Linked DNA regions of Danio rerio. The protein of the gene in region 1 purifies or fractionates together with the protein of each later gene. This does not show direct contact. Links are inferred from orthologs where the notes say so. Each region holds a gene or a part of one and is shown on either strand. Other genes may lie near its edges. The genes, in order: trim25 and ybx1.

Evidence for each region.
Region 2: the proteins of trim25 (region 1) and ybx1 purify together in Homo sapiens (affinity purification with western blotting; 4 studies listed by BioGRID and IntAct, with this or other methods). This does not show direct contact. The link is inferred for Danio rerio from reciprocal best matches to the Homo sapiens genes TRIM25 and YBX1.

Annotation. Positions count from the first base shown.
Region 1 is NC_133181.1:24,419,011-24,423,381, forward strand, and holds the start of trim25 (E3 ubiquitin/ISG15 ligase TRIM25), read right to left. Parts: upstream 2,939-4,371; 5' UTR 2,881-2,938; coding exon 2,287-2,880; intron 1-2,286.
Region 2 is NC_133183.1:56,877,171-56,881,588, reverse strand, and holds the start of ybx1 (Y-box-binding protein 1), read left to right. Parts: upstream 1-1,524; 5' UTR 1,525-1,730; coding exon 1,731-1,836; intron 1,837-3,910; coding exon 3,911-3,974; intron 3,975-4,186; coding exon 4,187-4,220; intron 4,221-4,302; coding exon 4,303-4,392; intron 4,393-4,418. UniProt on the Homo sapiens protein: DNA- and RNA-binding protein involved in various processes, such as translational repression, RNA stabilization, mRNA splicing, DNA repair and transcription regulation.

The DNA.
Region 1 (4,371 bases):
AAGTTGGTGGTTCATTTCGCTGTGGCAACCCCAGATTAATAAAGGGACTAAGCAGAAAAGAAAATGAATGAATAAATGTTGATGTTTTTTAGACTACCTACCAACTTACTTTAAGTTTATTATATTTATTTGAATTATTAGTATGTGTTTTTATTTAAACATGACAAATCACAGGTAAGGCAATGTTTTCTTTAAATATCCTCTTGTTTAAAGTTGCTGAATTAATAAAAAAAAACAACAATGTTTTAGAATTATGCATTTTTGTTTACAAATCTATGTAAAACCAAACCTGTGATATGCAGCCCAAGACCGGTTACTCACTGAAGCTAAGCAGGGCTGAGCCTGGTTAGTACCTGGATGGGAGACCACTAGGGAACACTAGGTTGCTGTTGGAAGTGGTGATAGTAAGGCCAGCAGGGGGCGCTCAACCTGTGGTCTATGTGAGTCCTAATGCCCCAGTAAAAGTGAAGGGGACACTACACTGTCAGTGGGCGCCGTCTTTCGGATGAGATGTTAAACCGAGGTCCTGACTCTCTGTGGTCATTAAAAATCCCATGGCACTTCTCGTGAAAGAGCAGGGGTGTAACCCCGGTGTCCTGGCCAAAGTCCCTTGGCCCTTATGATCATGGCCTCCCAATCATCCCCTTCCACCGAATTGGCTCTATCACTGTCTCTCCACTCCACCAATAGCTGGTGTGTGGTGAGCGCACTGGCGCCGTTGTCCTGTGGCTGCCGTCGCATCATCCAAGTGGATGCTGCACACTCGTGGTGGTGTGGAGAGATCCCCCCTCATGATTGTGAAGCGCTTTGGGTGTATGGCCATACACAATAAATGCGCTATATAAATACACATTACATTACATTACATTACAAACAAGTAATCTGCATATCTGCCAAAGTTTTTAGTTATTCATAGTGTTTTATTTAGTTACTTTTTTGCACCTTCCTTTCTTTGTTGCTGCTTAAATTAGATTTAAGAAAATGGTATCATGTGTAATATTTTATATGCACAAAATATTTTAGTATGATCGTTACACACAGTTTTTTTTATCTAACAATAAATAGAATTTCTCAATAAAACTGTTATTACAACAAATACCATTAATGCAATATTCAGCAACAATATTGCATATTTTCTCAATATCGTGTAGCCCTAATCTGTTTTGAATTATACAATTAGATTGTATACGCCTTCTGTAGACATCAGTGTGTATTTTACAAACTACAAATGTTTTGTTTTACCAATTCAAATGTTTTGTTTATATTCAAATGGCTACAACTTATTGAAAACACCTGCCTACATCGCGGAAGGTAGACAATAATGTGAAGTGAAGTGACAGTTTCTTTTTGTGGGCAAAGCTTTGAATGGCCTCTTTGCACTGTGTCATCAACACAGGTGAGAGCAGCTGTAAAGAAGGTATTTTTCTGACTGAACTGGATGTGTGCTTACATCTTGATAAACTCATTGTGGGTTGAGGGCAAGAACGGGCAGACCTTTGGCAAGGAATTTACTGTCTACTACAGGACACACTGCTTGTGAAGGAGAAATGACTTTGAAATTCACTTCAAACATGTCCCACTGTTCCGTGTTGGATGTAACCAACGACATAGAGTCATCTGCAAACTCCTCCAAAGAAGTATCAACGAGCGCCTTCTCTGTGTGAGACTGGCCGAGACAGGAGACTCACATCCAGTGAGACATTTGTAAATTTTTTGGGGGATATTTGCTTAAATGGAGCAAATTTGTCAGATGGCCGCAGAAGTGGAGAAGTCCACTGCTGTGCCTTTTTAACAAGAAAGAGCTGTAAGAGTTTTACTTTGAGGTATAACTCATTGCTGTAAAGAAGTTATGTGATGAATGGATAAATTACAATAACATGTTGAATGAATCATGAAGGGCTGGGCTATAGATCGCGACCGGCACTACCTTTCCTGGCAGTCTAAAGTGCAATTGCACAATTGTAAACCAAGCAGGCTTCATGTAAATTTTTGGGCCCCAACACAACAGTTACCCTTTGTTGTGGTCTCTCCCTTCACAACTTGTCTACTAAATAGTGTAAATTTAGTATATTATTTACTATAATAATTTATATTTTTAATAATTAATATATGGACTTTTTTATAATTAATCATTAAAAACGACAAACAAAAAGTATATTTACAATTAACATGTTTACAAATGGCTTGAATCTAACACTGGCAATACAAGTTTTGGACTCTTTCAGAGCGTATTTTTGTTTACAGCTGTTTAAATTCACATTTCCGTGTTTATTAAGAGGGCCTGACCTTTTGTTTGAAGCGCCGCTCATCTGCGGTGATGAACTCACAGCCCTTGTGAATGTACTGAAGACAGGTGCTGCAGATGCAGCTCTGGTGCTGAATGCAGTAGAACTCCATCAGTTTGCCATGATCGGAACAGAGACGCTCCATTAGATCTGGCAGCGGATCACAAAGTTGATGCGCCCGGAAAATGGCATTCTCTCGGTGAGGCCTCACATGATCTTCACAATAGGACGCCATACACGTCAGACAAGTTTTGACCGCTTTGGCTTCCATACAGCTGTCACATTTAATCGCATCTGGATCCTTCTTTTTCTCTTCAACTGGATTCTTGACAGGTTCCGAAATGCCCGCTTTTACTCTATAGGCATCCAGCACCGCGCCGAGGACAGTGTTCTTCTTGAGTTCGGGTTTACTGCTGAACGCCATTCGGCAATGAGGGCAGAACAGAGACGAAATCTTGTCTTTCCACGTCTCTTCGAGACAATTGGCGCAGAAGCTGTGCCCACATATTAAACTTACCGGGTTATCGAATAGACATAAACAGATGCTGCATGTTAACTCGTCTTCGAGACCCAACAGAGACATTTGTTCCGCCATCGTTCGTGAAGGAGAAGCTATGACTACGCACAACTCTGTCTGTTGCCGAAATGAAACTAGAAAGGCGGAGAAACGAAACTTATGTGCAACGTGCCTACGTCAAGTACACCCGTCTGCAGCCCGCAGATCTGGGCGGGGCTGAATATGGGGCGGAGCTGAATGTGCAGCCCCGCCCATAAATGGGCGAGACTGAACATGTCACTACGCCCACAAGTCTTTCATTGGTTCATGGAAACAGACGTTGATGTAATGTATGCTTTCGATTCCGGTTTTCATCTCTGCATGGTAAGTACACATCTTCTGTCATGTAAATGGTCAAATTATAGTGCAGTACACCTCACGTATTATGTGTCATTTATTTAATTAAAGGCCTTTAAGGAGATATGAAGTTTTAAAGCCTAAAAAAAAATGTTTTCTGTGTTAGGGTTGGCGTTTTCCAGGTTGATCGTACAGTTGGTGGTTTTATTCACTTAGAAGAATAATGTAAACTTTAAAGAGTTTTGAGCAAAACAGTCCACCACATGAAGTTTATTAATATCAAAGATAACAAAATATATTTTTCTTTGTGGCATGTTCTGTAATTGATATACTCTGGTAATGTTAATGCTAAATATGTACAAGATAAAACTTGATTCTTAACTTACTGATCTATACTACATTCTGTTTGCAGATCATTGGCATTGATATATATAGTCATCACTATGATTCCTGTGGAGCATATTCTCTGTTTTATTTTATTTTACCTCAGTTCGTTCTCTCTTTTGTTTTAATAGATTTGTGCATTTAATAATTTTTAATATATTTATTTACACTTCATGTTCTCTCTTTTTTTTTTTTTACTTTATAACCCATGCATGAAACTTATGCAAAGGGGAATGTGAGGAGGGGCATGCCTAGTATAAACAAATTTAATTCTTTGAGTTTAACTTTAATATACTGTATGTTAAGCGACATGTTGATGATTGTTGGTTATTTTGTACAGATGCCGCCTGAGATCCTGTAGTGTATCCTACTGAGAGTTGTCACACAGGATGGTGATGGGACATTTCTGCAACTCTCACTGACATCCAGGACCTTCTGAGCAATTGTCATTCATTCATTCATTCATTCATTTTCTTGTCGGTTTTGTCCCTTTATTAATCCAGAGTCACAACAGCGGAATGGACTGCCAACTTATCCAGCAGGTTTTTACGCAGCGGATGCCCTTCCAGCCGCAACCCATCTCTGGGGAACATCCACACACACACACACTCATACACTACAGACAATTTAGCCTACCCAATTCACCTTTACCGCATGTCTTTGGACTGTGGGGGAAACCGGAGCACCCGGAGGAAACCCACGCGAAGGCAGGGAGAACATGCAAACTCCACACAGAAACGCCAACTGAGCCGAGGTCCGAATCAGCGACCCAGCAACTTTCTTGCTGTGAGGTGGCAGCACTACCTACTGCGCCACTGCCTCGCCGAGCCATTGTCAGTAATCCAAAAT
Region 2 (4,418 bases), on another chromosome or scaffold:
CAGGAAAGACATTCAATGTTAATGGGATGGCCTGCAAGCAGTCCAGACCTCAACCCAATTGAAATCTGTTTTGGAAACTATAGAAAGTTCTCCATGACAAGGCTACAACCTGCAAATCTGATCCGCCAAGTGCAATAAAACAAAGTTGGAGACCGACCTTCGAAGAATACTGTAAATCCATGTCTCAGATAATCCTATGGTGGTACTAGTGTACTAGCAGTGTTTTTATTTGGTGATTCCATATAATATTCCTCAGATTTGTGTGATTCCATTTTTTTTTTCCTTTGTTTGATCTGTTAAAACAGTTGTAATTGACTACAGTCTTGTTTCATACAGCCAGAAGGTTGGATTATTGAATGGAAATAGTTTTGTGGCATGTGATTCCATATTTTTTTTGCCAGGGGTTTTAGTAACTAAAACCAACAAAACATTGTTATGTAGCATTAAGTGATGCTGAAACATTCATTTTAATTACCTACATTACCAGTCAAACGTGTTCACCAAGGCTACATTTTTTTGATCAGAACACATTGGGTAACCTTGTGAAATATAATATATTGTATTTGTATGAAAATGTTGTTTAACACCAACATTTTAGTGATTTAAAGCCGATTTTTTAGCATCCTTTACTCACTGAGATCAAATTTGTTTTATATTCACACATTTGGACTTTCTCCTTAATAATATAATTTGAGAAAAGCATTATTTGCATTCTAAATGGTGAAATAATGTTAGCAGCCAGTGACTATCAAAGACAACATTGTTCACAGTAAAATAAATAGTGCTAATGTTGTGTTCAAGTCATAGACCCTACATGTGAGTTCAGACCGAATATTCAAAGTACCATGGTAAACAATATAGGAAGCATGTCACAAGTTGTCAATAAATGAATATGTGAAATATAAAACCAACTTTACCTCAATCCGTTACTCCAATCTTCAGTGCCACATGATAGTTCAGAAAACATGCTAATGTCATTTCAGCTCTTGATATATATTACAACTTGTATTAATAATTTGTTCTGCTTTATAATAGTGAGGGGGAGACTATATTTATTTCATGATACTTTCGAGGAATGTTCAAACACATAGACACATACACACAATGTGTATTATATATAGCTAAATAGTATCTTGTCTATCTGAGGTACGTTTCTATCTAATCTACACATTTTACTGACTTTCTATATTTCTAATTTACTTTTACATGCATATTTCATTTCACTTTACATATATAAGCCTACCCTTAGGCAAATATAAATGTATGTCAATCTCTTCGTTAAGAAATCTGGAACTCAAGCTCATGTTCTGGTTTTACGTTTGTTTCCCTTTAGCGTGTGTTAAATATCTACCTGCCGGTATGTCTGGAAGGTTAAATAGGGTCTTGATTTGCAGGCGGTGCTAATTATTTGTTTAACCAGTCCCGGTCAGCCCTACAATTATTTTTATGTGAATGATAGCAAAAGTGTCCAATGGGCGTCGGCGAAAAAGCTGACGTTGACTTATCGCAAGTTCGTCGACCAATTAGATTGGGGAATGGGTGGAGAGATGTGACAGAATATCGTCCGGCATTTTTACTCAGTCCGTCCAGTTCGATCGGCAACGGGAGCGGAGAAAGGAAAGCGGAGAGCCCGAAGGCAGCAGCCCCCACCACCGCCGGCCCAGGTTACCATCTAGCACCGGGAAAACACACTAGAGAGCCACCGCCGGCTTTACCAACAAGAAAACAACATGAGCAGCGAGGCCGAGACACAACAGCCGCCGCAGCCTGCCGCCGACGCGGAGAGCCCGTCCAGCCCGGCAGCCGCAGCTACCGCGGGGGATAAGAAGGTCATCGGTAAGCTTGTCGGCGAAACCAAAGCCCCCCTGGCCTGCGGTCGTTTAAGTTTCGGAATAATACATTTTCTTAAACGCTCCAGGGTTTATTTCAGTTATGTTACAAAATGTATGTCAGTTCAAGAAAGGCCACGCTGTCTGCGACTGTGCTGTCGTTATTCCGTCACCAACTTAATTTGTGTTCTGTACCCGTGGCGTCCTGCCTGGTATTTTTGTTTTGGAGCTGTCCGTTTATTTACCACATGTTAAGATTTACGTACATTAAACTTGAGACGTTAAACGGTTTCACCCAGTTTGAATGTTAACTCGCGTGTCGCGTTCCATCACATCCGCGTGCGGATTGAAGACCGCCATGACGCGTGCTCGAGCCCGCGGCCTGCTTCAGCAAATACGAGACGCAGCGTGCTTCTTGCATTTACATGCTCGCTGTCGTGAATTACGGCAGCAGATAATTTGATAATTTTCTTGTATAATATCAGTATGCTTATTTGTTTACTGGTCGATTTTGACTCTGCGTGAAGCAGATCTTTGAGCTTGGCCTTGATCGTGACATGATGACCCAGATCATTGACCATAGCTGTTCGCGTGAAACGCGCAAACCTTCCCATCATAACGTTACGTGTCCAATTATTGTGGTCAGCGCGAACCGTGTCTGTTTAAAACCCAATCGCCAACTTTGGGAGCCGGTTTCTTGTGAAAGCGAAAACAAGCCATGCTAATCTCCTTCTCTTTGTTCGCTTGAGGAGATTGACGCGTCGCGCATACGTGTCCTCCTCTCCATTAACACCAAAAACGCCGCTTCTTCAAGATTTTATCAACCGACGTACGGTTTATAGCGCAGATTGTATAACAGCCGTATAGATAAAGATAAGCTGCCCGTGTCTCGCCACCCCGTTTAGAAAATGTCCGCCACGGTGTTTGGATGATGGACGGTTCTTTTGTCTGCTCCGCTGCTGCAAACACTGAGCGCTTCGGGCCTTTAACTACAGGCCCTCGGCGTTTGTTTATCGCGATCCCAACACAAATAAATAATGTTGGGTAACATCGTGTCCTGTAGCGAGGATGGCGTGTCTGTGTAGTGTTTGGCTTCGATCCGGCCACATGGCTGAGGCTACTGTGCTAACTGCAGTTAGCATCTCAAGCATCACTTCCTATAACAGAAATCGCGCATTATTTGCCGAAATGTGGTTTGAACTAAATCCAAATCATCAATTAAAATGAATTTTATTTCGACTGATTTGTTAGAAATACGCACGTTTTATTGTAGTTCTTTCTCCTTCTCACTTATTTTTTGTGAACGTTGGTGTTTAAAGTTTGTCGTAATGCCACAAAGCAAAATATTATTTGTCATATTAAATAATTTGGCCTTTAAAAACAAACAAAAAAACATTATTAAAGTATTTATATGCGTCTGCCTCAGAGCAAGCATTTCTTCCAAACTTTAACATTTTAGATCCGAAATGTTCTTCATGTGGACCTGCCGGTTGTCAAATTTTAAAGGGACTTGCTTATGTGTCAACAAAAACCCAGTTTACACAATTAAGACTTCAGTTTACGCTTCAAAATGTAGCTCGCTTATTTCCCCTCATCACACACTCGCACTGTTAGAGGTTTTGTTTATTCTTTTAATTTTTATATTAAGTAACTTATTAATGTGAAGCCTCTCCTGGGGGAAGGGGTGTGGGGTTTTTAAAGGATTATTAAAGTTTTTTTTTTCTGATTGCATTAAAGATTAGACCGAAACCTGATTTCATTGTTTTTAAGTGTCGACCAAATTGTGATCTAAACAAAAATGAGAGGTAATACTTTGAACTGCTTGGGTCAGGGCCTTTCATGGTGATGGAGGCTCTTGTGATAAGTGCAGCTGCCTTTGCATCACAGTCTATTAAAAGCTCTACAGTTGGAGGCTATAAATAGAGCACACAAAATGAACTCCGCTAGCCAGGGATGGTAACTTTGCTCAATGCGTCTTTCATTATTCGGTGTAACCTGACTCTTGAATACTGTTTTTTAAAATACAGATTTGTTTTGAGTCTTAAATCTGTTTTTAACAGCCCTTTTCCTCATCTTTGCAGCAACAAAAGTTTTGGGGACAGTGAAATGGTTCAATGTAAGGAACGGCTACGGTTTCATCAACAGGTAAATAACTTTCAGCTTCTGAAGAGCTATCTAATATAATATGTGGGTCAGGGAACATCCACAATCCTATTAGAGCTTTGCTTACAAAGCAGGACCTGACATGCACTAGCATGCTAATATTTATCCAAATATTTAACTTGCTGCTCAACTGAACATGCTTGTTTACACTAAGTCCTCGGCTTTTAATGTTTTCACTTTCTTTATTTTTGCAGGAATGACACAAAGGAAGATGTCTTTGTGCATCAGGTGATTATTTTCTCCAGTTTTCTTTTTATATTTGTGTTGGGGTAGATGTATTTTTTTCTGATTGCCTTTGTTTTCTGTCTAGACCGCCATTAAAAAGAACAACCCCAGGAAATATCTCCGTAGCGTTGGGGACGGAGAGACTGTGGAGTTCGACGTGGTAGAAGGGGAGAAGGTGAGCTTTTAGTCGTAGCTTAGTTT